Kluyveromyces lactis: one gene and its partners. The protein of the gene in region 1 interacts with the protein of each later gene in a pairwise test. Links are inferred from orthologs where the notes say so. Each region holds a gene or a part of one and is shown on either strand. Other genes may lie near its edges.

The links.
Region 2: the proteins of STE4 (region 1) and STE2 interact in a two-hybrid assay, tested with the Saccharomyces cerevisiae proteins (2 studies listed by BioGRID). The link is inferred for Kluyveromyces lactis from reciprocal best matches to the Saccharomyces cerevisiae genes STE4 and STE2.
Region 3: the proteins of STE4 (region 1) and STE50 interact in a two-hybrid assay, tested with the Saccharomyces cerevisiae proteins (2 studies listed by BioGRID). The link is inferred for Kluyveromyces lactis from reciprocal best matches to the Saccharomyces cerevisiae genes STE4 and STE50.
Region 4: the proteins of STE4 (region 1) and STE20 interact in binary tests that used the Saccharomyces cerevisiae proteins (3 or more experiments, as listed by UniProt). The link is inferred for Kluyveromyces lactis from reciprocal best matches to the Saccharomyces cerevisiae genes STE4 and STE20.
Region 5: the proteins of STE4 (region 1) and STE5 interact in binary tests that used the Saccharomyces cerevisiae proteins (3 or more experiments, as listed by UniProt). The link is inferred for Kluyveromyces lactis from reciprocal best matches to the Saccharomyces cerevisiae genes STE4 and STE5.

What each region holds. Positions count from the first base shown.
Region 1 is NC_006040.1:583,655-589,527, forward strand, and holds STE4 (G protein subunit beta), read left to right. Parts: upstream 1-2,634; coding exon 2,635-3,945; downstream 3,946-5,873. Other genes in the region: TBF1 (Tbf1p), read left to right, coding at 1-1,382; KLLA0_D06809g (uncharacterized protein), read right to left, coding at 4,055-4,621; KLLA0_D06831g (uncharacterized protein), read right to left, coding at 5,180-5,873. UniProt on the Saccharomyces cerevisiae protein: Implicated in the a- and alpha-factor response pathway. The beta and gamma chains of the putative yeast mating response pathway G protein play a positive role in initiation of the mating response.
Region 2 is NC_006042.1:2,330,109-2,336,179, reverse strand, and holds STE2 (alpha-factor pheromone receptor STE2), read right to left. Parts: upstream 2,693-6,071; coding exon 1,382-2,692; downstream 1-1,381. Other genes in the region: BST1 (Bst1p), read left to right, coding at 1-1,226; TIM18 (Tim18p), read right to left, coding at 3,335-3,916; MUM3 (Mum3p), read left to right, coding at 4,375-5,391; GTPase-activating protein RNA1, read right to left, coding at 5,546-6,071. UniProt on the Saccharomyces cerevisiae protein: Fungal class D1 G-protein-coupled receptor that acts as an alpha-factor pheromone receptor performing pheromone-dependent signal transduction involved in cellular conjugation, mating projection assembly, and in cell fusion.
Region 3 is NC_006039.1:102,615-108,170, forward strand, and holds STE50 (Ste50p), read left to right. Parts: upstream 1-3,197; coding exon 3,198-4,085; downstream 4,086-5,556. Other genes in the region: LSB5 (Lsb5p), read left to right, coding at 604-1,611; MXR2 (peptide-methionine (R)-S-oxide reductase), read right to left, coding at 1,741-2,340; EMI1 (Emi1p), read left to right, coding at 2,543-2,803; RRP7 (Rrp7p), read right to left, coding at 4,291-5,271; SDH7 (Sdh7p), read right to left, coding at 5,478-5,556.
Region 4 is NC_006038.1:1,188,472-1,195,520, forward strand, and holds STE20 (mitogen-activated protein kinase kinase kinase kinase STE20), read left to right. Parts: upstream 1-3,120; coding exon 3,121-6,090; downstream 6,091-7,049. Other genes in the region: putative ubiquitin-protein ligase UFD4, read left to right, coding at 1-2,359; MIF2 (Mif2p), read right to left, coding at 6,175-7,049. UniProt on the Saccharomyces cerevisiae protein: MAP4K component of the MAPK pathway required for the mating pheromone response, haploid invasive growth and diploid pseudohyphal development. Links the pheromone response G-protein beta gamma subunits to downstream signaling components.
Region 5 is NC_006042.1:1,101,307-1,108,095, forward strand, and holds STE5 (Ste5p), read left to right. Parts: upstream 1-2,601; coding exon 2,602-4,842; downstream 4,843-6,789. Other genes in the region: PDA1 (pyruvate dehydrogenase (acetyl-transferring) subunit E1 alpha), read left to right, coding at 123-1,361; SPO71 (Spo71p), read right to left, coding at 4,837-6,789. UniProt on the Saccharomyces cerevisiae protein: Component of the pheromone signal transduction pathway. It mediates pheromone signals acting between STE20 and STE11. It is absolutely required for pheromone-induced transcription of FUS1. May play a role in cell-cycle arrest in response to pheromone.

The DNA of each region.
Region 1 (5,873 bases):
ATTCGATACTCCGAAGACTACCAGAAAAGACACAAATATTGCTTAAAACACTTCCATTATTAGATGGAGTGACAGTCCAACTGCTTCGGTTTCTCTCTGCTAATTCACTAAGAACTATCCTAGCTATAATATCAGATGCCAGTCCAAAAGCGTTTCCTCTAGAACAAGACCTTTATCATTCTCTGCTAGCATTATTCATAAAGCTCGTATCACTTTACAACACAAAGCCTCAACTGTTGAGAGTATCGCATATTTTCCCAGGTGTGTGGCATGACCACCATCCGTCACCTTCTTTTATACAGACACACGAGAGGTACATCCTTTTAGTTCTTCGAAAGGTTAACATATGTTTGTTTTTGTTGACTCTTTTGAAAGAGTTGCCCTTTGGTATCAGCTTCTTAGCTGACAACTTCATTGAGGTCTTCTGTTTTAACGTTGACAGTTCAAAAGTGGAAGACCTTATCACTGCCAACAGGTCCAGAATAGTTTATGGAAGACTATTAAAACCGCAGACGGTTTTATACCTTGATTTGATGACACAGTACTACATCAGTGCGTTGGTTTCATCTTCGACTCCACACACCAGCAAATCACCACTATTGGATCAAGTTTTCCCCGACACTATCCTGGATGATATCAAGGATAAGACTATAAAATATGCTGGCAAATATATGCAATTGCAAATACAATGCACTGAAACAGATTTTAAAGAAAGATGCAAGCGACGTAAGACTGCCATTCTCGAATGCCCAGACTTACAAAAATTGATGAAGAAATACGATTGGGAGGAATGTTGTAAAGAAGTGTTTTCTTACGGGATTAAGCGGGCAGATGTCTTGCTCTATGGTAGAAGAGGCAAGGGATTGAGTTCTGTTCCATCTCGTACACCAACACCTGTAGAAACAATACCAGCTCCGGTACAGAGCGAAACACTTCCAGTTGAAGAGGGGGAAAGCGATCTAGTTGAAGAGTTGCCCAATACTATCAATACTACTGAAGCTGAGGTAGATGTTAAGAGTACAGTGCTAAGGACCAATGAACCTCAAAGAAGAATAGACTTACCCGTTAAGCCCTTCAAGACAAAACCTAAGCAAAAAAAGATGTGGACACAAGAGGAAGAAGATTGTTTGAAATCCGGTTTGAAACAGTGCGGACCTGCATGGGCCAAAATATTATCTCTGTACGGTCCTGGAGGAACGGTGTCGGAATCTTTAAAGAACAGGTCCCAAGTTCAACTGAAGGACAAGGCAAGAAATTGGAAAATGCACTACTTAAAAAATATGAAACCAGTTCCAGAGTACTTGGAGAAGGTGACAGGTGATTTAGAAAGAGGTCTGAAAAGCAAGAAGAAACCCAAATCCAAGCCCAAACCAGCGGTCTGATGTGAGCGTCGGGAAAGCGGGACCAATTTAGCATATATAAACTCGTAGTTATCATTGAATGCATAGTCATAGTATCATCTCGTCCTTGAATAACCTTATGCAGCAGTTTTTCACAACAGGATCTATTCGATTCCCTAATCTTTACATTTTTTTGGTTTGTGGCCAGCAAGCTCTTTCATGTGGGAACATTAGGTATATCATAGTATCATTGCATCATGATAGCAAATTCGACTACATGTTGCATTCGAAGTTAGGACTCTAGAACAGTGGTTTTTTTTGGTTGCTACAAGCCACACATCATTAACCGTTCCTGGTACCGGAGACCTTTTCCCCTGTCACCGAAAACTGAACGCAGTAAATGCCATAACGCCATAGTAAATGTATCTAAGTAAGGTGTGAGAGCTATGTGATAGTCTGCGTCTGTATTGAGTGTTCGCGTAGGCTTCCTTTATTTTATTTTTTCACCTAGCGTGGAGATCGTCTTGCAAAGAGCGACAGTTTTTGAGGTTGTCATTTCACAAAAACTTGGTAAGATCTGTCTTGTTTAAGAGAGGCTTTTCTAGGCATCATGTGAAATATACAACGCTGTTTCACTGGGGAGCTTCGACACTGGCCCTTTTGAGGATACAATTCCTCATGCTGTAGAACGAGACGCTAAGGAAAGCACGCTTGAATATGTGCATTGATATCTTTTATATTACTTTTGCTTTTATTTGGAGTGTCTAAATCCATGACTGGAAGTTTGAGCTGCAATTAGCAATTGAGTTACATAGCGAACTAAATAAGGCATTGGTTCATTAGGATTTAACAGCAGTACAGCATATACATCGAAGTTGACAATCTGTTAAACAAGTGAAATAGCAGAGAAAGATTGCCTGTACAGCTTTGGTTCGGAGGTTTAATGTTGTTTGCAAAAATGACATGACTTTTATGCATGATATATATATACATGATGGAAGAAATATGGTCGTTTCCTTTCGCGGCGTTAATGGGCATTTTTGGTACATTGCCTTGTTCATATTTGTAGTAAATTAGTTTGTTGTGAGTAAATTAGGGATATATATATATATGAAGGTCCTGGAGAGGAAATCAGCAGAAAGGACGAAATCTGTTTCAGAGTGCCTCTTAATCGAATCGCAGATTCTAATGCTGGTGATCATTGATTGAAGTTTGCAAAGTTCGATACTTACTCATTTCATTTCAACCCCCTTCCTTTCCTTATTACAGTGTCTAGTTGCAAACAGCATCCAAGATGGAAGTCGATTCAGCAGAATATGCAATTCGTCCACAGGAACTGATTGTGCACGATTACCATTATCCCAATATGAATTCAGCTGGTACAGTGGAGGACAAAATAAGGACAGCAAAGACGGAGTGCAAGCAGTTATACGACCAAATCAACAGAATTAAAGGCAAAATTCAAGACACTCAATTGATGAACTTGTCTCACGGCGTCAATTCATTACACGAGTTAAACTTACAACCGGTTCGAACTTTGAAAGGACATAATAATAAAATCTCAGACGTAAAATGGAGCCAGGATTCGGCAAGCGTACTCAGCTCGAGCCAAGACGGGTTTATAATCATATGGGATCCCTTCACTGGGCTTAAAAAAAGCGCTATCCCCTTGTTATCCCAATGGGTCTTGAGTAGCGCTATCAGTCCCAGCGGAAATCTGGTTGCAAGTGCGGGTTTGGACAATCATTGTTCAGTGTATCGTGTTTCAAGAGATAATAGAATACAACAGAATGTGATTTCCATCTTCAAGGGCCATACCTGCTACATTTCAGCTACGGAGTTTCTTGATGAGAGGACTATTTTGACTGCAAGTGGTGATATGACATGCGCTATGTGGGATATTCCTAAAAGTAAAAGAGTTACGGAATTTATAGATCACTTAGGCGATGTCTTGACCATGGATTTACCACCAGCAAACACTGGTCGATATGGTCATAATTTCATCACCGGAGGATCGGACGGGTATGCGTATCTATGGGATGTTAGACAGCCGAATTCAGCCCAAAGTTTTTTCATCAGTGATAGTGATGTTAGTGCCATCAAATTTTTCAACAATGGAGAATCCTTCATGGCGGGTTCAGATGATGGTAGCGCTAGGTTATTTGACTTAAGAAGTGATTGTCAGATATCGACGTACTCATTTTCAGACGGTTTACTTCAGCAGCACCAGCTTCAACAACAACATCATCCTCATCCTCATTCTCATGCTTATTCTCGTATTCAAAAAAATCGGTATGGCTCATCCTCTTCTTCAACTTCGTCTTATCCAATTGTAAAAACACCTCAATCTTTGAATTTCAAGGAAAGTTGTATCGAAGATCAAGGAGTCATATCAATAGATTTCAGCTCTTCTGGTAGATTGATGTACGCTTGTTATGCGGATTACGGGTGTGCAGTATGGGATATTATCAAAGGAGAAATGATTGGCAAAGTTGATGGTCATCGAAACAGAATAAATGCCGTCAAGACGAGCCCTGATGGAATGGCAGTAGTGTCTAGCTCATGGGATATGACCCTAAAAGTTTGGACACCGGTTCATCAGTGAAATGATGAACTGAGAATGGTAATGCATATCGAAAAAAGCCGCAAAATAGCCCTTATAATACTACTGAAACCGCTCAGTTTGGCTCTTGTTCATCGCAGTAAGTGAAACTTTAAGATGCAGCTGAGGAAGCCTCCACCAACCTGCAAATTTTATTGAGCAGCTGGTTCGGAATTTGAGACAATAATATTACAATGTCATCCTCTTGATGACGTCTCTTAGCAATTTCTTCAGATACCGGAGGAAATGTAACAATTGTATTAATTACCTTTTGAATAGTATCAACATCAGATACCGATATAAGATTAATAGCCCTTTGTAAGTTTGTAACTTGACCCAAACTTATTTCATCTTCATTGTAAATTGGTACACTGCCAGAATTTAATAACTCTTCCCGCAGTTTGGTTTGATGGTAGGGAAACCTTCCCTCATAATCAACATTGTACGCATTATTATCGAAGGATAGTTCGTGATGAAAAGTGTAAGTTGTCGAGCAAAATTTGACCTTTGCTATTATCTTTAGCTCAAACTCACCCCAACCTTGCTCATCTAGGGTGAAGGGAGGTTCCGTGAGTTTTCGTAGTGGTCGTTCAAATGTGGGATGAAGGTGATAGGTAACATAATCAAATAAGGTGGCCGGTTGCTCGTTTCCTTCTTCATCTAATATAAATAATTGCATTCTCCATTTCCTTGTCGGCAGTTCGTAGACTTTAGGAGCATCTGGTAAAATAATTTGTTGAGTTTTGACTCTTATTGTTCGAGGAACGTAAGGCTGATATGTTTGTAAACAACCACTTGTTAGTGACAATGCTGCTAGTGACAAACGTTATGGCAATATTAGATTAAAACATACCATTACAAAATCTTTTTCCATTATGTTAAGTGTTGACTTGATGCCAATACAGTTTTCTATCGACGGCTTGCGGACCGTTGTGCTACAACAATAGTAAAACATAATGGAGTATTGTGATATGCTATCATGTAGAATTTGATTCAAACTATTATTTTTTTCAGAGATAAGCTCATCGGTAGGAGGTCGACAATAATTAAAGTCAAGTCCAAGGGCGAATTCAATCAAATATTTCAGTGCAATTTTCCCTAGGCTTGATTTGTCTATTCATTATAGTGTTCATTTGGTACTTTTTCTGCAAGCAGTGCCTGTTAGTGGAGATGTAAGTTATAAAATACAACTACATAATTGTAATGGTTAAATTAGATAAACATGTGAGAGGTCCGGTTACTCGGTGTTTTTCTTGACGTATTCCCATAAACTCTTCAATAGACTTTCAGGCAAGCTATATAAATCAATAACGAACTCACCTTCTTCGATATTGTTCGTAATATTCATTTCTGGAGTTTTGTTATCAGTTATCATTTGTACTACTCCAACCAATGTATCCTCGTTTAGTTTTGTTAAGCCAAATGCTAACTTTTCCAAGTTCACAGAGCCTTTCACTGTTGAAGCGGAGGCGGTCTTGGCTTTTTTCGTTTTTACATCACCATTGACAGTAGATGCTTTTCTCTTGTCACCTGGAGTGGTGGCAGCTGTCGCTGTTGCATTTGGAGTTGCTGCTGCTGTTGATGCTACTTCATCGACAGGTCCACTTTTCTCTAGTTCTGCTCTTAGAAGAGGCTTATTGGTAGGAACTTGGATTACATGATCAATTTCATAGGCATCTTTCATGAAATGTAGGTCGTGAGTTATCTTCTTCTCGCCCCCTTTCTCAAGAAGATGCGCACTTATCAACAATTCAAAGCCACCCCAGCCTTGTTCTTCAATTCTAAAAGGAGGTTCCGTGAATGTTCTATGAGGGTTTGCAAAAGTTGGATGCAAATGATACACTACCTTATCAAATATCGTGGCTGGAATTTCGTTTCCTTGTTCATCCAAAAGAACTAATTCAATGGTCCATTGACGCATAGGAAAGTTT
Region 2 (6,071 bases), on another chromosome or scaffold:
TCTCTGACGAAATAGATAGCATGTTCAGACCGATGATGAGACAGTATGTTAATAATCCATATGAAACCAAATGGCATTTATTGGCTGCCTCAAGTTCTCATGAAATCAATATGCACAATATATCTCCCTTCATACCACTTGATGATACCATAGACAAGTCATTAAATTTGATGTTCTTCATCCCACCTGGAGAGGAAATTTCTTTAAGACTATCCATAAACTGGAAACTAACATTGAAGATGCTTTATATCAGATTCAGATTAGCTTTTGCATCAATTCCAATATCGATAATTGCTTTAGTCTTATGCTACCAGTTTTACTACTATGACAGCCCTGATAGTAAATTCATCAGCTTTGATACTGGTTTGATGAATGTTTTGAATAATCATAGTCTATTAATATTCCTCTTTTTATCAGTAGGACCGATAGCAATCAATCATAAGGCCATATTGACCTTGCTGCATTACTTAGACCCTATTTCTTTGAGCAAACCAAGTAGCGATTCTCATATGTTGAACAATAACTATATGCTGGGTCTACGTGAAACATTTGTGTGGTGGATTGGACCAGTCTTTTTCATAATCTCTGTCGCATTATTATTCATTATTTTGAGACTCATAAATGTCATCGAATTTGCAGTTATTAAAATTTCCTCAGCAATCACAAGATATACGCGTATCACATTTCCTGATCCTCTTAACGATATGACACATCATAAACTACTTTTTAATAACAGGCAATTACTGGGAGTATGTTTTATTTCTTTGGGAGTCATGGTCTATGTCCCATATCAGTTCGCATTCATCCTTGTAAGCTTAATTCAAATGTGGAACTGCATGAAGCTGGCAGTCTTTACAAACAGGAACAACGCAAAATATTCCAATATACACAACTATAACGTGTCATTCTTAATGCTAACAATATTCATGATACCAATCAATGCTCCAATAGTTGTCGTCTTCTTGCGTAATTTTGCGATTAGGTGGGAGACGGCCTTCAGATCGCATCATAATTTCTTAGCCATAGCACCAACATTGCTTCTAACATTAAGAAATAGTCAGTGCAATATTCCTATAATCAAGAACAGAATGAACTGGCTGATCGTTGTCTCAATTCTAGGATATTTATCCTTTTATTCTTTCATGTACGGCATAAGAAATTTATACTGGGTCTACCACATTTCCAATATCCTTAATGGGGTCTTATTCTTCCTAACAATATTATGAAACTAATCGATAAAGAGTAATTCTAAAGTATAATTAAATGAAATTAAAGAACCAGCAGATACTATGAGCTGCTATATGTATACCTTACTAAAATATATGATTGGTATGATAGAGCTCAACAGAACGTAAAAAACTAGAAACCAGAGACACAGTGTTTATCTTAATTCTTTGAATACGGTTTTCGATTGCATTAAACCGTCATCTTTGTTTTCATGAATTGCATTCACCCAAAATGCCCTTGCCTCTTCATCAGCATCTGTTTCTGAGGTATAGATGTTGGAAGCTTTCAATTGTTTAATCACTGTTGCATCTGTTGATCCTGGAGAAGAAACAAAATCGGACCTTTTTGCTCTATCCATAAAAGATTCGCCAGACTCTAAATCCATCTCCAACTGTGTAGATAGTTCAAGTTCCTTTGAACTACAACCATCCGAAGTTTGTGGTGAGTTACTGAAAGAGTATTTGTCACTAAAGGCTTTACCATAAGAGTAGGATGATGAATCATCACGATTTTGTGCAGAGTAAGGGTTGAATTGGCGATAGAAAGTACTGGCACTTGGTGCATCATTTGCAGCAGCAGCCCAGATAGATGTCAAAGGTAGGGAAAGAACTACAAGCAATGTAGCAATAGAAGTCAACGACTTAACTCCTTTATTGTTCAGCGCGTAGGCGAGAATATACAAAACCGATGGACCTATTAATGTCTGAGTAGACATGATGAGTAGAATGTGAAATGAGTCAAATTGTTTCAAACCTAAATGTCTCCTAGCTCTGAAAGCCAGGAAAAGTTTCACTGATAGAAGAAGAGTGATGAAATTTATTGAACATGCAAGTAAAATAACTGCTATGTTGTAATAATATGTGTCAACTTTGTTCAATGGACTATCATACACTACAATAATAGATTTTATTGCAGTAATCATCCACATGGCTACAGTTGCAGCACCAAAACTAGCGGAGACGCCAGTCAAAATGATTCCTATCTTCCTATATCTATCTGCTTTGAAAATGACTCTTACCTGAAAGACTAACGAGACCTCAATACACGCAACCAATAGACATTGAATTAGAGTCACGGCACCGTAAAGATGTTTGTCACGGTCGCCTATCATCTGTGGGAACAAAGTTAGAGCAAAGGGAACTCCTCCAAAATTGCTCAACAAATATGATAGATATAAAGCAGATTGAACAATTGTAAGAACCAAAGAACTCTGATTTATTATGAATATCGGCGTCTTTCTATTCTTAGAGACCATCCACATTATAATCAACGCTAATCCAGCAGCGCCGATCCTTGTTCCAAAAATAATTGCTTGGGTGATGTTTTCATGGACAAGATTTTGTAGCTGTTGAAATGTTATTTCAGTCCCATCTCCGTAAATTGAACTGTATGTTAGGACGGACTGCAATGGATTATATGTCTCATTGTAGAACAATGGGTTCAAACTGGGTATCTCTTCTGACATGTTAAATAAGTTAATGCTTATTGTCAAAACATTAAGGGTACTTTGACGTAAAAATTTGAAGGATGTCAAATCAACATTGAGTCTCTCAATCTCACCTTGTATCACAGAGAGGTGCCTTTATATAGTCACTTTTGAAGTATGTTCTCTTGACATGAATAAGTTTCATGAAGGAATGAAAAAAAAAAAACCTCAATAAGTTTCAAACCCAAAGCACATTTAGTAATCTCCTCAACTTGAGGCGGTTTTTCTTCAGCAGAGACGAATGCAAAGTCTTTTGCATTCAGGATTTTATTTCATTAAATTGTGTCAAACCGGCTGTAATCTATGTGATTGCCAAAAAAGGCAGTTACAATGAGATTGGATCAACAACTTTAAACGCATGTAATCATGGGCAAAAAAACGAACAGCAAAATACCCAAAATGGTCTATTCAAAGTTAGATTGCTTTACCCCGTTTGAACTTTTGGCGAGGAAAAGGACCAGCTGAATCATCAGACTCAAAGACTAAATTAAGACTATGGTAAGAATAAATAACACTAGATGTAGCACTAATAAATAATAATGATAATAAATAAATGAGAGTCTAATCTGCTTGGAGGTCAATTCTCCGATGAATTACATATTGCTTGGACAGAGTACCACACTAAAACCTTCCAAATACATATGCTCTCGAATCCCCCTTATCTTTATCCCAAAGAGTAGAGACCAAATCTATTAGTCCGTTATTTTCCGTTTCTAAAACATAAATTCCGTAAAGACTGAAGGAGCTTCCAAGTGCCAAAGCGAATTTAGCAGCCTTGTGCCAGAATCCGAATTTTCTCTTAGGGATATAGTCAATAATGCAACTTGTTATACCTAAGTACGCATGTATTAGTATTGTACTGGCCAATAGAGAATCAATCACTGGGAAGGGGAAACCTGATGCAAAGGTAGCAGAAGACATAGCTCCATACAAAGGAACCATTGTCAAAGGAACTAACGACACTGCAGTGATACGTTCATAATCCCAGTGATACGACCCATGGAACCAATTCGGTTCTGTCTTTGGTAAGTTATCGTTTACGTTTCCGGTAACTCCGCCTGGAGGTGGTGGGATTAACTTGTACTTCGCAAACTTACTGGAACTAAAAACAGCTGGTAGCCTGATACCTCTCAACTGACGATGAAGCAAAGAAGTTCTTAACATGACTGGAAGTGGCTTGTTTATCATTGATCTGGCAATCATTATGTCGTCTTGGCTGCCATCCTTACTTTTCAGGTACTTTTCGATGTATGCGAAGTGATGAGATGAGCTTAGTCAAAAAATATTTCATTTTTCACTTCATCATCGATAATGAGATTGGAGCAAAATTGATGAGATCTGAAAAGAATACAGAAGATGCAGAATAACCAGAAAGGCAGTTATAGCGGTAGTGGTTTCTGTTAGAGGCTCTATGAATTAATTCAATCGTAAAATTTACATTCTAATTACAATGTATCGGTGACAAGTTTTTCTAATGTAAACTAAACGATGGTCGTACTGTTTACGTTTTCCTATTTTTCACTTGAAACTGTTTGTCATGCGACAAAACAAAATGGTTAAAAAGTCTGTGTCAGTGTGGAATAAACACAGAAACTGTTCCTAACTAGCTAGAAAACGATCCATTACAATCGTTTTCTGTTAGGATGAAGAACTAGTAAACCATGTCTGTACTGAGTACGTTGCAAACAAATGTCACGGGACCATGGTTTTCGATACAAGACAAGCATCTTATAAAATGTGTGGCCTATTCATGGTTTTTGTTTATACTTTTCATACTTCAGTCAGTGCTAGCAGGGTGGATATGGTATATGAATCAATGGTCCAGAATCATTTCATCAAAGTATTATTACAGGGGTATTATGAAAACTGAGAAGATTCAAACCATGGTTAATATATGGATTAATGAATTCATTATATGGAGTGTGCTAAGAGAAGATATCCAAATTATTTACGAGGGGGAAACAATCAACACAAAATGTAAGAACCAACTAATACTAAGCAACCATAGATCAATTATCGATTATACTTTGATTCAATCCCAGTTCGGAGCTGAAAATGTAATTTTCGCAGGTTGGACTCGTTTAATGAAGTATCCCAGTTTTAAGCATTTTTGGACAATATTCAGGCATGATGAGAATGACAACGTTTCGGTATCAAAGATTAAGAAGTTTTATGGGCCTGAGAATTTGGTAATATTTCCCGAGGTGAATATCTTCACACCAGAAGTTAAATTGATTGAAAGAAAGTTAATGAAATTGAAATACAAAGGATTACCTGTTTTGCATAACGTTCTATACCCCAGATTTGGTACTTTCGTAAATCTGATCAAAGCTTTTTCAAACAGCAATGACAGAAAATGGTGTCGCATGTTGGAGTACCTTATTCTTCCGACAGAACCGATATTACGTGACTCAATGAAGTTACTAGATTTAACTTTGGTTTATTACAAGATCACGTTGAACTCAATGGGTGAGTATAAGTTGGAGCAAACAATTCCAGCTCTATGGGACATATGGTCGTTGGAATCACCAATGATACTATGCATCCACGCATCGTACCATGATGTTGATAAACTCACTAAAAAGAAACCCAAACAACTAGAAAGTTGGCTAGAAACCCAGTGGTGTGCTAAGGATAAATTGATAGATACCTTTGAATTGAACGTGGAGATAGTCTAAAAAATGATACAATATTGTATGTGTACATTCCGGGTTGATGGTATTGCGAGAAATATAATGAGTTCTGTTTCAGGTTTTAGCTATTTATTACATTACAACAGGAAATTGGAATGTAGGACGTCATTTATGCAAGGATCAATAAGTATTAGTTTATTTATTCTAAATGAGTTTTTGCCAATTCGGATGCCAATTCATCGACGGTTTCATCCTTAACAAATTGTGTTGGTTCCCACACGTCTTCTTCCTCGGCGTCTTCGTCTTCACTTTCTTCCTCTTCTTCGGAGTCAATTTCTTCCAAATCATCCAATTCATCTAATTCGCCGTCGAACAAAGTAGGTAATATCGATAAAGGATCGGAATCCTCTTCTAATCTATTACCATTCAATTCCAACAATTTCAATGATGGTAAGTTACCATCTTGTAAAGCAGGAATTAATAAATGTTCTAAACTCTGTTGAGTTAATTCATTGTATTGCAACTTCAAAGTTTCTAAATCGTCGAATTTATTCTCCTTCAAAACTTTCAAGACTGCATGAGAACCAGGACCCTTCAACAAACAATCGTTCAAGTTCAATTCCTTTAGTTGAGCCCAATTAGTTAAATATTTTGCAAGTGTCTCTGATGCAACAGCAGTGAATGTATTATCTTGCAAATCTAATACATGCAAGTTTTTGTTGTGA
Region 3 (5,556 bases), on another chromosome or scaffold:
AGTAGATTAGATCTGAGTACTGGTTTGTATACTTTGTTATGTGTCAGTGATACAAAACTATTATTAAACGCCTATTACATTGGTATTATCCGGTCATGCATTATGACTAGTTCCAACATGATAGCTACTGAATGAACAGTTACATACAAAGCAATTAAAGCGGAGTTTCTGTCCTGAAATGATATGTCGCTGCTTTCACTGTAAAAAATCTTGAATTAACAGTACGATCTCATATATATAGTGTAGTCTGTATGTTTGTCTCTCGAGTACTCGTAGCGTTCCGTCATTGGTACATAAGTTGTACGCACATCTTGTGCATGTTTTTCGCATTTTTTTTTTTAAAGGAAGGAAATAATGAAAAGTTCAAGATTAATGTTCGTTACTAGGACTATGGGCCTGAACTGATTTTCCCCTATTTCAAATTATCGTTATCAAATCACATCATAACGAGAGAGGAATCTCGAACAACAACTTAGTGCATTCCACCAGTTTCAACTACTCAAAGAAAGGATACCAACGGATCACTTAACCTAGTGGGCAGTTAGACCAATAGTGTTGCAGTAGAAAATAAAAATTAGCTTGCACGTCATCTGATATACACTAATGGGGTTTTTCACTGATCATCCATATACTTCGGTTACGGAATCCATCAATAAGGCCGTTATATCAGAAAATGCAACGTTAGAAGTTGAATTAGGAAACATACTGCAGTTGATTCGAACTGGTGACACCGACACCAATCAAGTAGAAGCAGCTAGGGCGATTAGAAAACGATTAAAGCATGGTGACCTGTACCAACAATCAAGGGCATTGGATCTATTAAACTTATTTGTTTCCCAGCTCATCCATTTACCATTGTTCTATTCCGATTTCAGATTGATTAACGTTCTTCTGGATATGTCTTCTAATTCAGGGAAATACCCAAAACAAATTTCAAGAAAATGTACATGTTATCTAATAGGGTGGTATCAATATTTGGCAAGTCACCAGGAGGTTGAAGGTTTTGAAATGCTATTTACTGTTTGTGAAAAGGCTTACAAAAACAAGAAAAGACATACCAAGGTCATGAACAAATCTTATCAGAAGAAAAAGAAAGCATTACCTCAATTTTTAAGTGACACTGCCGATCGAAGAGCTGTCACCGCTGATGAACGGTATGGGATTCCAAGAATTGACCTTGAGAAGGAAGCTCCTAAGATTAAACTATTGATTAGCGACTCCTTAGAAACCGCAGTGTCTCTATCGAATGCTTTGTTGGCAATTCCAGCTCATAGTAAGTCCACCGACAGTGAGCTGTGTACGGCCAAATTCGTTCAAGCAAGAGCATTGAGAAGGAAGGTTCTACGTTATTTGCAACTGATTACCGGTGGTGAACTTTTAGGTGCTTTACTCCATGCTAACGAGGAGTTGGTCAATGCATTGATGGCATTTGACCAATTAGCCGAAGAAGGAGACATGGCTTCTTTGAATGAACGTGACAGTGATGAAGATGATCAAGAGGACAACGAAGCTTACATTTCTGATGAGGCATCAATACCTTCGTACACATCTAGAGGTGGAGCCGCTCAGCCCAATGATCCATTTAGCGATAACAATAAAATTAAGAATTGATGCGATCTCCTGGCGGAGCGTAAAAAACCGTAGAGCCATCTGTTTTAATTGTGTAATATTGTACACCTAATATAACTAAGTGAGCTAAATAATTGCAAACCTACAACTATTTGCCTAATCTGGTGAGCACTAACCTTCCTTGAAGTTCAAACTGCAACTGTTGACACAATGTCTTTGGTCAGTTGGCAAATTCAAGATTTTCTGCCATCCCTCCCCTTCGAACACATGCCCCATATGACCACCGCATCTACTGCAGCATATTTCTATACGAACCATCCCAAACGATTCATCGCGAGTAAAAGTTAAAGATCCCGGTATAGCATCATAAAACGCAGGCCATCCGCAGCCTGAGTCGAACTTCGTCTCACTCTTATAAATAGGCAAATCGCAATTTGCACATGAGTAAATCCCTGTTTGTTTGTTGTGCAAGTAATTTCCTGTGTTTGGTCTCTCCGTACCCTTATCACGTAGTACTCTTAGCTGTTCTGAAGTCAAACTCGGATTCCATTTACCGGTGCTATTCATTGTTCTGTAAAATTGCTTTGATAAGTTTAAAGATAAAATCCTTGAACAACTTCTTGAGAGCATCAAAAGTGTGAAACAATTATGGAGTGGTAAAACTTTAAGAATTATACCTATCAACAAAATAATGAAAGCTGAACAATAGATCCGATGGTGATTACAAATGCGAGTTTCCAGTTGTTTTCTCTTTACGATAGCATGGCTCATCGGCTTCTTGCAGAAAGCTAGTTGAAAAAATCCAAAATTCTATAATTTACAGCTTAAACATCTTTGTCAATAAAGAGCAATCTACAAAACGAAAGAAGGAGGTTGATTACGGAAGCAGCAAACCAGTCCGCCCAGTTTTGACCATTACCACAGCTACTTACCAAATAGAAAATATCATAGACTGTAAACGATATTCAACACTATGTCATCTAATTATCCAACAACAATGTCTTGCACTGATGCATTTGATCAGTTAACAGGATGTTTCAGTTTAGGAGGTCAGTTTAGAAATTACTACAGACATGGCCACATGAACGAATGTCTGAAAGAATTCGAGAAATTTAAGTTTTGTGTGATCCATAGTAAAGATCCCGTGAAGGTACAGGAATGGCACAAAGAGCAGTGGCAGAAGAACCAAGAAAGGAAAGGTACCTCCGATGACATTTGGAAAGAAAGAGTATAAACCATGGCCGTTGGAATGATAGATAGTTGTATATTTTCCACACGTATGTCCTGTAAATAAATGAATCAAAGTTACGATTGCATCGAAATACTTCTAGCGCGAATGTAGTAACAGGATTACCCCGTTCCCCAGGAATCTTATGTCAGAATATTCGCAGGGTTCCTTGTCATTTCTTTATGATTTCCGACAATATGGGAAAATCTATATTTAAACTTAATCGATTATTTGAATAAAACCAAGTGATACCAGAAAGTTGATGAAAGGAGATCCGGGGAACAGCTCAGTCTGTGGAGCATATCATTGAGCCAACAGAAGCATATTGATCAGTGGCTAACCAGTGATTCAATTGTGTTTTTACATCTCTTAAGAACAGGCATAGAAACAAAAACAAATAATGAGCGGTACAAATGAATGGTCAACTGAGGAGGTTTGCAAGAAAGTCAAAGCAGAACTTGGATTAACGGACGGAGATACATTCATCCTAGATAGAATACGAGAGAACAAGATAACTGGATCTACGTTATCTGAAATCACACTTGCCGATTGCAAGGAGTTATGTCCTGATAGCATTAGTGCCGTGAGGCTTAAGACATGCATAAACAAATTTGTTGACACGGAAGAACAAGCACCGGAACAAGAATTAGTGTTGACTATGAAAGGCTTACACCAGACGTTAAATGAAAAGTTACAAGAATTCCAATCTAATTATGCGCAACTCAGATTGGATTTGTTGGAAATCGTGAAGAGGAACAGTGGATCTGGTTCAGGTTCCTCTCAGTCTTCTCAACAACTTCAACATCAACCTTCTTCGCAAGATTACTTCGATAGAGCTCCACACCATTCTTCACACACGCCATCATCACCCAAATACAGATCGAATTCCAATCCAGGGCTGCCACCACAATCTTCAAGCACCAGAAATGTTTCATCGTCACATATTGCCACCACACCCGGATCGGCGAATACTCCAGGCGGAGCTGGAGTATCATCAGCTCCAAGTTCAGAACCTATGAAACAATTACGTGCCTCAAAGGAGGATTCATGTGAAAAGGTTTTAAGAAATGCGATGAAGAGGCACAATTTGAATGAAACGGATTGGAGACAGCATGTTTTAGTGATATGCTATGGAGATCAAGAACGAGTTCTTGATCTCGATGAAAAACCAGTACAGATCTTCAAGTCTTTAAAACAACAAGGCCTGCATCCTGCAATTATGTTAAGACAAAAAGGTGACTTTGAGGAAGTGGGAGAAATGGCAGCAACACCGGGAGGTAGGCTATAATGTTTGTTATCTCCTCCTTCATCAACTGGAAAAAACACTTGGCAAGCAACCATAAACTTTCATTTTAGAGCTTTCATGAACGAATAATTGTATTGATAGATTAATTATCTCTTTCTATAAGAGTTACGTATGTTGTACAAAGACACATTCTCAACTATAGTAAATAACAAATAGAGCACCTTATCAGGAAAGTTTTCTCAAATAATTATGTGTACGGGTTGAACCTTCTTTTGGACTTCATCTCCTTTATCTTTTCTTGATCTTGCTTGAATTTGGCTAGCAACTCATTAATTTCCTGCTTCTTTCTTTCACGGACTTGGAATCTATAGAAGTCCTTCTTTGCCTTCTTGTCAACCATATTAGGCATCTTCTTAGGTTTCTCATGCTTTAATAATGGATTTCTGTTGAATATCTTTTTCCTTATGCTGTTTAATGATTTTGTATTCTTTCCTACTACTAATGTGAAACCATCTTCATCAACAATAGATGATTGTACTTCTTCTTGAGCTTGCTGTTCTCTTTGTTCGAAAAGAGCCATATGTTCATGTATATCCGTTTTCAAATATTTTAACGGTAATGGACGGTAGAATGCTGTGAATGTCTCGATTGATGGGGATTGAAATTCCCACAGTATCTGTTGTTGCTTCTTGCTAGAAGAGTATTTCCTTAGTGCTTCCCAACAGTTTTCTACGGACTGCTTATCCACAAACTGTAGTAATGCAGTATTTCTTGGCGTAAATCTTTTCTCACTAGGTTCATCAACACTCATTAAATGAGAAGTCAATGATGATAAGTCAACATCATGTAATCCGAACTCATCATGATAGAGTAGATCTTGCACATGCGAAACGGTTTCATTCTGATGACAGATCTCTTGGAAATTTTTCTTCAAGTTTTCGAGTTGTGTTAAAAGAGGTAGATTAACTAGGAATAAGCAGTGTTGTTCATTTTCCAGTTTTGATTGATGCTTTCTCACAAACATATAATGATATACTTTCGTCGGTTTCTGGTTTAAACTCTTTACTTGAGGTAGTAAAAACGGCACAATTAGGAAGCCATTTTGCATCTGTTCAAGAACCATTCTTTCGTATTGAAAGTGTGTGGAGAGGTATCTTGATCGGTGTATAACCCAAACAAATTCGTTGAAAGTTGTTGAAGCGAATTTCTTCAGCTCATCTCTTCTCATCACTTTACTAACTTTAAATCATAGTTTTCATTACACAACTACTAAATAGTGTCGAGAAGAAAATTTTCAATATAAGACGAAAGTCTTTTGAAGTCACGTGCAACAAAAAGTTGAGTATATAAACCCTTCTCCTCACCCACTACTTGAGAGAATTTGGAGGAAAGATATAATATTTGGGAAATGTCTGTCTTACAACCTTCCGAAGATCATTCACCACCTGATTTCAGCTGTTCAGCTTCTTTCATCAATTCGTACAACTGGGTAACTTGTTCTGGTGACATCTTT
Region 4 (7,049 bases), on another chromosome or scaffold:
TTTGACTCCTTATTACCTAATAAAACATGTTTCCATGTTTAGTGCTACACTACTAGAGTTGTTTTCATCTAACCAAGAAGAAGTCTCCAGCGAGCTTTCTGAAATTAATGCTGTTGTCACTAAGATGAAGGAACTGGATGTTCAATCTGATTCCGAACAATATTGGATGGATTTCTGGACTGCTGTAAAATCCTCATTATTTGATGATATGTCCAACATATCTGGCTTCGAGCTCATTTCCACTGGTCTCATTGATTCTATGGCTAATATCTTTGAAACTGATTCAACGAAACAATCATTCTCCAAGAGGACTTTTCTGAAAGTGTTCGAGGAAAAATTGCCTGAATTTGTGAAGCTACTACAAAATGCATTGTCTAGGACGGAAACCTTTGCCATCCTAGATGCTGGTGCCAGTAGCAACGATTCTCCAAGTGCCTCGTTAATCAAACAGATGAAAATAAGATTAGTTCATGAGCCGGCCGATGATGAAGTGGGAAAAGATACTGTTCCAGAAACTCTTCAAGATGTTGTAATTGCCGTGCATTGCGTTGCATCTTTGAAAACACTTGATGAATTCTTGAAACACAAGATTGTGCAATCGGAATTTTTGACTTCTATCATTCCGAGCATGAGTCGTGCTAATCAACAAGCCAACCCTACAAATGTTGCCAAAGAACTTGAAAACATACAATTTGACTTTTCGTTGAATGACCATCTTTTAGATCAATCGTCAACTATTTACTCTATTATATTCAAAGAGGCGATGAAAGAAGGGTTACCCACAACGAGTATCTGGACTAACGTACCTACTTTTAAGTTCAAGAAATCAGTAAAAAGAAGGGAGTCACATCAATTGCATGTGCTTTACCCCGATACAGCTTTTGAAGGGGCGGATTTGAAGCCTGTCAATGGTATTTTGACAGTTCTACAATGTTGCCAACATAAATCACTCCCAGCATCTATTTATGTGAATCCAAAGATTAGTGCTAAGCTTTCCCGTCAACTTGAAGAGCCACTTATTGTGGCATGTGGGGTCTTACCAAGTTGGGTCCTCGATATCACGAGAAAATATGGATTTTTGTTTCCATTTGAAACTAGAATGAACTTCTTACAGAATACATCATATGGATATGGCAGATTGATCCAATACTGGAGGGAAAAGCTGGCAGATCAGCACCATAGTAACCCTACTGAAAATCCATTGCATCAATTAGGCAGGTTGACTAGACACAAGTTGAGGGTTTCAAGAGACTCACTATTTTTGTCCGGCATCAAAATTCTAAAAAAGTATGGTTCTTCGCCAAACGTATTGGAGATCGAATACAAAGATGAAGAAGGTACAGGGTTAGGACCCACTCTCGAATTTTACTCTTTGATGTCGAAAGAATTTGCAAGGAAGTCTCTAAAAATGTGGAAGACCAATAGTGATACCAGTGATGATGAGGAGGAGTATGTGACAGGTGCATTGTTCCCTGGACCATTATTGGGCACCACCGAGGAGAATAACGAAAAGACTTTGAAATTATTCGAAAACTTGGGGACCTTAGTCGCTAGGTCAATGTTAGATAATAGGATTCTCGATTTTAGATTTAACGCTGTTTTCTTCGAGTTGATGCACAAATGCTGCAAGAATGATCGACTTGACCTAGAAGACTTCGAAACTTGTATCCACCTCGTAGGACAGTTTGATGTTCAACTAGGAAAATCACTCGCATTTTTGTATGATAATCGTCATGATGACTCTATCAAAAACCTTGACCTATATTTCATGCTGCCTGGTTATGATATAGAATTGTTGGAAGGTGGTTCGAAAATCTTAGTTGAATCTTTCAACGTGGAAGAGTACTTGATTCGTGTCTTTGACCAATTTTTGGGCAAAGGCGTAGATATGCAGCTCGCTGCCTTCAGGAACGGATTTTCGAAATCATTCCCTTATTCATCATTGCTAATCTTAACTCCGACAGAACTATCCGATTTGTTTGGTGCAGTTGCTGAAGATTGGTCTGTGCAAACGCTATACTCATCCATTCATGCAGACCATGGCTACTCGATGGATTCTCCAATCATAACAGACCTCATAGATATTTTGTCGAATTTTTCGACACAACAGAAACGTTTGTTCTTACAATTCATCACTGGCTCTCCGAAACTACCTCTTGGCGGTTTCAAAAACTTAAAACCCAAATTCACAGTAGTCCTGAAGCACCCAGATGGGAACATCTCGGCAGACCATTGCCTACCTAGCGTTATGACATGCGCCAATTACTTGAAACTACCAAAATACTCTGATAAACTGGTACTCAAAGATCGTATTGCACAAGCAATGACTGAAGGTTCCGGAGCCTTCCTATTGTCATAGAATATGTATATAACTACATAGAGATGTCTGTAGATCTAACCATACTCCACCCTAACTAAAGATTTCAATACCACATACTTTCGTGACATGTGACAGGATTTACTCTTTGGGATTGGCGAAAATGTTGAAACTGAAATTTAAAGCTTAAGAGTTTAAACAAACGGAATGTAAAGATCAGATGGTATGCATGTTTATAAGCAGATTAGAGAAACGAGCAAGCTCAATTGTTGCTTTAACTGTGGCTTGTGTTAGAACTAGGTTTTAAATTTTATTAATCAGGCTATCTCTGCCGATTTGACAAGTATTTCAGAGAGTAATACCAGGTAATACCATCTTCTTTTGGATCTTTTTAATAACAAGCACACATTATTTGTTTGTTTTGGCGAGAGTGTGATTTTAGCAATCAAAAGACGTTCGTTACACTGAATTACACAACAGGCTCTCGTTTTTAAGTTAGAAGGAGGTGAAGGTAGAAAGAATTTTACAGAGCACGTTTTGTCATTTCTTTCATTGTTTATCTGACTTGATCTTCTATTCTTTGAACAAAGTAATCTAGCTTTTTTTCTGACAGAAATTAACACGGCCACAGCAGGCTTTGTTACTGACGGTTGTATGCTCTAGAAATCATTACAGACCTGTTTGTGTTTTTCGGAATACCTTTCCTTTTTGTTCGGTCGATAGAATTAACCACAAGACATCTTTTGACACAGGCCTTTTTTTTTTGATAGAAGCTACTACACTCACTACTTTGTCTCCATATAATGACGGATACTGGATATACTGAAGAATTGTTACCAGGCACATTTGATGCGCTTTCCGTGAGAGAAAATGGTGGCAATACAGAAAGTGACACCAGTAGCATACGCAAAAGTCAAAATCAAGATTCAAAACAAGAGGATGTACATCGTGAAAATCTTTCAGTACAAACTCTAGAGGATCATACAGAAGTAACGGAGACTAGGGAACAATCTGTCTCAAAAGATCTCTTTGATTTACCTCGTGCACCAGCGAGTTTGGATGTGAAAGGATTACAAGAATCAGACGAAGATCATTACGTCAAAGACCTTTCAGATTATAAATCTATGGATCCAGGGAAACCGGGCACCGTACCAACAAATGTTTCGGAAATTTTTAATAGTAACCAGCCAACTTTGGATGAACCGATACAATTTACAAGAGTCTCTTCCAGTTCTGTGTTAAGTGAAAGTATATCGGAAGGTGATGCAGATTTAATATCGCATCTAGAAGGAAAAGTGGAAGAAGGAAATAATTTGACTTCGAAGGAGACGCCAGGGACAATTGAATCTATTGTTGGAGATAAGACGATGTCAACTATAGAAGGTTCCTCCCAAAATATAGGTAGAATATCTACTGGCGGGAGGATGACACCTGATCTCTCTCTTATGGGCGGGGCCCTGGAAACTTCTTCTGACTTCCTAAATTCCACACAAACCTCAAATTCTCCAAAGATTACAACACCTATAACTGAAGTTGATGCCAATGATGTATATGAGTCCCCGCTAAATGAGATATTATCATCTACAGATAGTTTCAACAAGGCATCGACAGCGTCTGCAGATCATTCGAAACACGTAAGTGTGCATGAAGTAATACCTGAAGAAGAACCACATCCAGAAACAACAAATGAGGATCCTCCAATTAAAACTCCCGTAATGGTGAATAACTTTTTCGAAAATCAAACACCAGTATCAGAATCAAGATCCCCCTTCAGAACCATTTCTTCTCCGTTTTCTTCTCTGAGGAAAAACGTTAAGAGTCAGCATGGGACGCCTGACCACTCCCAGAGGAATTCTAATTCCTCCACCTCCTCTAATGATGTTAAGAGGAAGACCGGTACTAAGAAGAAAGGTGTTTTCTCAACATTCGTTCAAAACATCAAGAGGAACTCACACTCAGAGAAAAGAATTTCTAGCGGAAGCGGTAATGGAAGTGGAAATAATGCATTTAAGATCTCTACTCCTTATAATGCTAAGCATGTTTATCATGTAGGTGTTGACTCCAAAACAGGGGAATATACAGGGTTACCAAATGAATGGGAGAAACTTTTAACTTCCAGTGGCATTAGTATGAAAGAACAACAGCAACATCCCCAGGCTGTGATGGATATTGTAAAATTCTACCAAGATGTTACTGAAAACTCTGGAGAAGAGAAAGTCTTCAAGACTTTCAAAGTAGGAGGTGGCTCTGGTGCAAACATTGCATCTACACCTTCTTTCAGAACCCCATCAACTGCATCAGTACAGAAGTTCGAAACTCCGCAAATGCAAACAGATGCAACTTTTCCGAATGAAAACAATGATACCCCATACTCTAGTAACTTACAGGGTCCGCTGCTCACTAACGATTTCAGTGAAACTGTGAACAACGAAAAGTTCATACCGACTCGGCCTGCTCCAAAACCTCAAGGTTCCTCCACAGTTAGCCGTAGGGTCGAAATCCCTTCACCAATCAATTCGCTTGGCCATGGAACACCAAAAGTGCAAAGAAGTGATACTCAGTCATCAAGCATTTTCTCATTCAAGAAGATGCCAACATTGAAAAGTGAGCAACCATTACCTCCTATTCCAAAGGCTGCAGAAAAACCAGCAAATTTATTGCCTGCAAGAGCGGCTCCTACTCCACCAAAACCTGCAATTCCTACAACACCGGAACAATCCTCAATACCTGCAATTCCTTCCGGGCTTGCTGTGGAAGTGAAAGAGGAATCGAATACTTCTAATGTCCAGACAAGAAAGGCCCAGGAAAAAAAGAGGGAAGAGAGGAAAAGAAAGAATCAACAAATTCAATCAAAATTAACCGAGATTTGCACAACAGGAGACCCAAGCAAACTGTACAAGAATCTGATCAAAATCGGACAAGGTGCATCAGGAGGAGTTTACACAGCGTATGAATTGGGCACAAATGCTTCAGTAGCAATAAAACAGATGAATTTGGAGAAACAACCCAAGAAAGAGTTAATTGTGAATGAAATTCTGGTCATGAAAGGAAGCAAACACAACAACATTGTTAATTTCATTGATTCATACCTATTTAGAGGTGATTTATGGGTTGTCATGGAATACATGGAAGGTGGTTCGTTGACTGATGTCGTTACGCACTGTATATTGACTGAAGGGCAAATCGGTGCCGTCTCTAGAGAAACACTCAAGGGTTTACAGTTTTTGCATTCAAAGGGAGTCATTCATAGAGATATTAAATCAGACAATATTTTGCTATCCATGAACGGAGACATCAAACTAACAGATTTCGGTTTTTGTGCTCAGATTAACGAGGTAAATTTGAAGAGAACGACGATGGTTGGTACTCCGTACTGGATGGCCCCAGAAGTCGTATCAAGAAAAGAATATGGACCAAAGGTTGATATTTGGTCTCTTGGTATTATGATCATTGAAATGATAGAAGGTGAACCACCATATCTGAATGAGACACCACTAAGAGCTCTATATTTGATCGCTACCAATGGTACGCCAAAGCTAAAGGATCCTGGAAATTTAAGTCATAAAATGGCTATGTTCTTAAATTGGTGTTTAATGGTTGATCCAGAGGACAGAGGAACCGCAGCAGATCTTCTTGAAGATCCATTTATCACTGAAATTGCGGAAGAGAACACCTCCCTTGCACCGTTGGTTAAACTGGCAAGGATGAAGAAACTAGCAGAAAGTATGGAAGATGATGAAAACGATGAAGACAAATACGATGAACAATCATAATCATTTCTGTTTTACGGCATTACATGAATTTAAAACTTTATTTTTTCTATATAGAATAGTTGTGTTATTAATATTTCATTCACATTAGGTAGATGTGAGACTCATATCGCTCGAAGATTTATTAGAAGACATCTCCGAATCTTCAAAAATGTCATCTGCACCATTAAAATCTTCAGGGACGGTTGTTTGAACGAAGAAAAGTTGCGCTTCTGTCATTCCTTTATTGAGAAAACCGTAAGTGTTGAACGCCGGTACTTGAAAAGAAGAACCCGTTGTACACACAAACTTGTTATCACCCACAGATATTTCAACAACACCTTTAACAACGAAAAAATTGATAAAAGCGTTATGTGAATCACTAGGGGTCTTTTCTCCATCGAGCGGAAGCTTAAGCATACCGCTGGCAAACCTTTCTTTGTGTTTATCGAATAAAATCGATAAAGTAAATTTATCCTGGTTTGTGCTTGTAACCTGTTCAGTTTGTGCTAACCCAGGAGCAAAAGCCAATATATTCTGTTCTTTCTTCTCATCAGCTGTAACATTGACCTTTGATTGAAGAATACCTTGTTTCAGCCATTCAGCATTTGGATAAGTTCCTTGCTGAATATCTTGAATAATTGGAGCGTTTGGATCGGTAATGTTCTGATCATCCACAGGCTTAATTTTCCGTGGTCGACCTCTAGGTTTACCGGACGGAATGTAGTTATACGGTCTTGTCTTGGTTTTCATTACCTGCTTTTTAGCACGTTTACTTTTCAGTAGTTGCTCCTCTTCTTCATCCTGATCATGATCATACGTGATAATTTTTTCAATCTCAAGGACAGGCTTCTCTGATTTTCTCTTGTACACGATCTTTTCATTTCTCCAGTACTCAAGCGGTGCAACTTTGACTCTATTCGATCTACGAATTCCGCCTTCCGTACTTGGACTTTCGTCTTTCAATAAATCTTTAGCTTGTG
Region 5 (6,789 bases), on another chromosome or scaffold:
TTCTTTATTTCTTCTCTATACAACATATTTTGCCATCACTACTGCTGAGTGTGTATTTGTGTGTTCTAATTGTTGGTCGCTATAGTAGTTAATACCGAAAAGAACAATAAATTAGGCAAACCATGCTATCTTTGAAAGCTCAATCCTCTGTGGTTGGGAAGTCCAGCTCTTTGAGATTGGTTAGAAACTTTTCTAAAAACGTCCGTGCTTTGTCCCAGGTTGCTGATGAAACTAAGCCAGGTGATGATGACCTAGTTCAAATTGATTTGCCAGAAACCTCTTTTGAAGGTTATCTTTTGGATGTTCCTGAATTAAGTTATCAAACCACCAAGTCCAATTTGCTACAAATGTACAAGGATATGATTATCGTTAGAAGAATGGAAATGGCCTGTGACGCTTTGTACAAGGCTAAGAAAATTAGAGGTTTCTGTCACTCCTCTGTCGGTCAAGAAGCCATTGCCGTTGGTATTGAAAACGCTATCACTAAGCGTGATACCGTCATCACCTCTTACAGATGTCATGGTTTCACCTACATGAGAGGTGCTGCTGTTCAAGCTGTGTTGGCTGAATTGATGGGTAGAAGAACTGGTGTGTCCTTCGGTAAGGGTGGTTCCATGCACTTGTACGCCCCTGGTTTCTACGGTGGTAATGGTATCGTTGGTGCCCAAGTCCCATTGGGTGCTGGTTTGGCCTTCGCTCATCAATACAAACACGAAGATGCTTGTTCTTTTGCCTTGTACGGTGATGGTGCCTCTAACCAAGGTCAAGTTTTCGAATCCTTCAACATGGCCAAGTTATGGAACTTACCAGCCGTCTTCTGTTGTGAAAACAACAAGTACGGTATGGGTACCGCTGCCGCAAGATCTTCAGCCATGACTGAATACTTCAAGCGTGGTCAATACATTCCTGGTTTGAAGGTTAACGGTATGGATATCTTGGCTGTTTACCAAGCTTCCAAGTTCGCTAAGGACTGGACTGTCTCCGGTAACGGTCCAATCGTTCTTGAATACGAAACTTACAGATATGGTGGTCACTCTATGTCTGATCCAGGTACTACTTACAGAACCAGAGATGAAATCCAACACATGAGATCTAAGAACGATCCAATTGCAGGTTTAAAGATGCACTTATTGGAATTGGGTATCGCCACGGAAGATGAAATTAAGGCTTACGACAAGGCTGCTAGAAAGTACGTCGATGAGCAAGTCGAATTAGCTGATGCTGCCCCAGCTCCAGAAGCTAAGATGTCCATCTTGTTCGAGGATGTCTACGTTCCAGGTTCTGAAACTCCAACCCTAAGAGGTAGATTGCAAGAAGATACTTGGGATTTTGCTAAGAAGAGCTTTGCTTTCAGAGATTAGAGCAAGAACGAATTAGGTAATTGAACGTTAAAGTTAACTTCTTTGCGTTTATCCTTTTTTTTATTCCCATCTCTCTACTCTTCCCTTTTCGAAAGACAACTATATTCCTATAAACTGCCCTTTCACAATATTATGCTATAAGGTTCACAAGATGATACTATTTGTATAGTGCATCTGCTATTTTCCACCAATCAATATTAAAGTACCAAAATCATAAAAAAACACCTTTTAGATACAAGTGTTTTTTATTCATTTCATTCACGGTATGGTTTCTATTCAGATAACTGTTTTTTTCGGTTTTAAAACATGAATGTTCATCTGTGACTTCTCATTCTCTCTCTCTCCATGAGACTTCGTTGATGCTTATTCTCAATGCCGAGAACATTATCTGGTTACTGATGCCTGCCATTACGGATTACCTGCGTTTTAATTTCTTCCCAAACAAAACAACGATACAGAATTTTCTCATTACTCCCAAAAACTACCTCAATAATTCGTGCTACAATCTTCTTTTCTTACGTTGATCTTGCGCCTGTTATAAACATGATTTATTGTGAACTAGGTTTTGTAAACTAATCTGACATTGTTCTTCACCATAAATTGTCTCTCCCCTTTTTGGTTGCTACGATACAATGTCGTCAAATGCGAAGCCGCATATTAGACAGATGAAAAGTTACAATACCTTGTCCATCATTGAATCATCTACTCACCTTTCTAATGACTGATCTCACGACGACTTACCCCAATAATCATCTCATCTCTATTTACTAGACTTACATCTAGTCTATATATAAATTGTATTTACTGAATTAAAGTATCATAGATATACTAGAGACAGTTTTGTCACCCTGGTTCCAGAGTCACTGCAGGACCCTACTCATCGACTTCCTAAAATGTACACTTTGTCCTGATTTCATCACTATCTCTGTTTTCATTTAAGGGAAGAAAATTATTCATTACTTAAGACCGTTGATGTTTAAATCTGAAACAACCTCAAAATGGCATCATGATGAAAGGGGAAAATATAGTGATTGCAGATTCCGGGAGATTTGAGATTCTTTTAGTGAATTCTCCAAAGTAGCTACCATGATATCGTTACTTATGTGCTAATCTATCAATTGAATAACTGAACAATTATTGTTCAAAGTATTAAGAATACATCCAAAAGTCTTCAAACTTTAAGGAATTTAAGAGTAACACTACGGCTGACTAGAGCATATTAACTATTACTTTGCTAGAAATGTCTAGAGGTAATACATCATCAATGAATTCTCAGGATATCTTATTTCAATTGACTAATGTGGGATCCTCCCCGGTGCCTAAACTGGATACAGGATCCACTTCAGGGTCCAATACCTCATCGCCAAGAAGATGGACAGAGCTTTTTTCTAAGAAGAGAGTGAAGACGCCTTCAGTTGGTACTCCATCGACTGCATCATCCATGATATCTTCCTTCTATGATAGTTCTCCCATAAGACCAGTGTCAAAACAGCATCCTAAGCACCTCCTGGTAGATCCGATCATGCCGCCTCCACCCATAATGCTCTCTCCCATTGGACATGAGACCTTAGGAAAGAAGCCCACTCGAAAAAATGGTAATAAGTCTTGGAAAAATGAGAGATGTTGCATATGCGGAGATCTTTGTTCGTTCAAGGGTTCTAATGAGAAGGTAATCCCTTTGGAGTGTAACCATATGTGTCATGAAGATTGTTTAATGGTGAGTTTACGACCTCTTCCTCATAAATCAAACCTGTATGATGCCTTGCCGAAATGCGACATCTGTAGTATGTCATGCATACCGGGACAGGAAGATATGCGACAGAAGGTAAGGTCACACTTGTTAACCTTACCTGATGACGGTGAAAGTGTTGGACTCGAACCGTATAATCCTCAAGAAAACTACGAGCGGATAAAATTGTGCGATGCAGACCTCTTACCCAAGCACTCAGGTAATGATGAAACGTTTCCACATTTGCAGACTACTAGAACAACTGCAAGAAATAACGATATCAGGTTATCTTTTGCATTTTCTTTGAAACCAGGGAAAACGGTTACTCCATCTCTTCGAGATTCCATCCGTTTGCATAGGAGTCGCAGTATAAAAAGAAGATCCAACTTCAGAGGAAGTACGGTTTCTGGCTTGTCGTCCATCGTATCATCTTCCTCGAAAGATGACTGTCAACTGCCTTCTTTGCACGTTCAAAGGCAGTATTTCATTCAAGCGTTTTTGAATAGTTTTAGCGAAGTCAAGCCTTGGGAAATTGATGCTAAATATGGACTCTTACGATTGATAGATAATTTTTTGATATCATTAGATGGCATAAATTTCCAACACCAGGTTTGCTACCTATTTTCGGAATATTTACTAGTATGTCGACCATCTCCTGCTACTTCGGCAAATGTTCTTCAATTCTCGAGCTACCGTTGTTTCCAATTGAATAATCCTCCTGAACTAGATTTATTAGATGCAACTACTCTTGAATCAAAATCTCGTTCTGGGGAAAGAATTCTTATTAAACCTTATGGGTTGGATACAAAAGCTTTAGAAAAATGGATAACAGCTCTATTTGATCTTACTTTGCCGTTCGGAAATTATGATTTCACTTCGATCAAGGTTCCCGAATTTGTGGCTTGCATTCCTAGCACCAATGATACAGGTACAATCATTGTCAGACGACAGAGTACCTTAAATGAAACCCTTATCCCTAAAACAATTCGAGATTCATCCGTGTTAACCTCAATATCATCCATTTTGTCCATCAAAAGAGCAACACCAAATGAATTAAATTTGGTGTTGCAATTAGATAAAAGAAAGACTAATGAAGATAATATCGTCTCGATCAAGAACGTCATTTTAGCTTTGACTTGGAAGTTTTCTACTTTTAACTGCTGTATTGTTGATGTTGAAGGAATGGTCATCAATTGCGGAACTGCTAACGATGTTCTCAATTCGTTGGCTGGTCCGATAAAAAGTAATGGTAATCAACCATTCTCTCCAGATCTTTTACACCAATTATGGTATCGGCAAAAACAGAAAATATGCAAAAATGTTGGGGTTGTTGTTTTATCAAACTCATCCATGGAGAATGGTAAATCATGTCTTTTTAGCGATTATCGAATATTCGCTGATGCAGGCAAACGGCATCCAAATGAATTAAAAATAAAAGTAGGCTTTCTGAATGTAGATTATAGTGATAATATCAAAGAACTCGTTGAAATTCAGGACTGGAACGAATTGCTTGAAGCTGTTGCCTATAGTTTTAATTTGAGCTTTGATGATGATTTAGATAGTAGTGACTGTGTCAGTACCTCCTCTAGTGATTTTGAAGTGGATTCAGTTCCAGATAAGAATAGAACATTCCGGCTTTCATCACCTATATCCTGGGAAAATCACGTACAGGCTGACTTGACAGGATCTATGAATGGTATTAGTGAATCTATTGAAGACCGGCAATCAAATCATATGTACGACTATTTATAACATTTTCACTCTCTCTAATTCATCATATATTTTTACCATCCACAAATCTCTCTCTTGCCTGGATCGACACATAAAAATCATCGATTTTCCCGAGACTCCAAGTTTATCAACAACGTGAAATTTTGAAGAGTCCGGAGTTTCTGGTGTTATTACTGAACTTAACATTATCCTTTTGTTTGGAAACCACATAACAAAAGTCCTACTACTCTCTTCATCCATGCTTTTCCATCCGTCAGCATACACTCTTGAGAGACTATGAGAACCTGGATTAATAGAGTTAAAGTCTTTGTCTCGGTCCAAGAGTTCCTGTTCACTGAGGGCACCTGAATATAGATAGCATTTCTCTATCGGAATCGTTAAAAAATGTCTATACTTTGTCGAATCTTTCGCGTAGCCCCTTATGGATCTATCGAAACAGTGGTACAACATTATAAACCCAGGAATCAACACCATGAAATGCTTGTTGAATACTGAATGTTTTCTGGATTTATGATAAATTAATCCTTGGTGTATTATAGGACGCGACAAAGCATGAGCGCTGACGTTGTAAATATGATCGTTTGTTGTTGATAATTCTGTCATCCATTTCGGAACAAATGCAGATATGTGCTTTTCCTGAAGTTCAGTTATATTGAAGGTGTTGAGATTCTTTATTTTCAAATCCCAGAGAAGCTGTCGATCAGCAGCTAGTCTTCGCTTCCAGTAGAAGGCTATTTCACGTAGTCGTGATAACCACTCTTGACATGTCTCCGGATCAGGCGCCATGAGTAGTTTACTGACATTTTTACCAATTACTAACTCTATAATAGAAGACTTCGTTGCTTCAAGTGTTTGACTATTCTTCCATACCATATTATTTGCTTCATTCCATATTTTCATGGTCTTAATATTGAAGCCCGATGCATCTAAAAGCTTGATATCTGTACAACGAGTCAAGTCAATGCAATTATCCGCTTTGAGTATTAGTGATATTTTTCTCAGGAATGATCTACTAGCTCTTGCGTCGTGACTTTCAAATTCCGCAGTTGTTATATTCTCGTTTAACCAAGCGAAATGACCATTCTCATCTAATGGATATGGATTATCTTCGTACACTCTAGGCATGGTTTCAATTAAGTCATCTAGCCTGGCTTTATCTAATACTACTCCGAATGGATCGATTACGTCATCTTCCGGTAGTGGTGGTGTAGCCTTAACGGATCTAGTCCTAAAAAAGAGCCCGTTTGAAGTGAACCAGTAGGAAAGCTTAAAATAGGGATGTGAGAGTTTATATTCATTTTTATCGCTGAAAACAATATTGTTTTCAGATAAAAAACCCTCAATTGGCGAGGGCTCATTAATGACCTTAACGGTATCAGTGTGATTATCGATGGGTTTCTGTATGGATCTGGGGTAAGTTTTAAGCCTACGATATTCAAATATGTGAGATTTTCTCAAAACAAATGTTCCGTACAACAAATCAGTTTGATTGCCGTAAGACCATTCAATCCTATCGTAATGTTTCCAACATAGTCCCATTAGTATATTGGAAGCATCCCATTTTTTAACCTCATGTAAATATCCAAGTTGTATAAGCGTCTCACGTATAACTAGCTTCAAATATCTTAATATTGGAAGTTGTGCTACACGGTATCCATTTTCTAGTTGGAATATTTTCATCACTTCCTCCTCTTCTGCCGCCTTCTTTGCTAATTTCCTTCTTATTATTTCTGGGAGATCTACATTTAGTGATAAATTTACTATTGGAATATGGATGTCAATGTCACAAGGTTGTGCTGCAGGACCAATGCTGGATCTCAAAAATACCAACCACCTACTAGATGATAATAGATTATCACATCGGAATATGAAAATTTTCAAAGGGGAAAATTGTTTCTTCGATGTTGCTGTTTTCGTTTTTGCATTATCCGCAAACCTCATTTCTTGTGTTAATAGGTCATCTTGTTT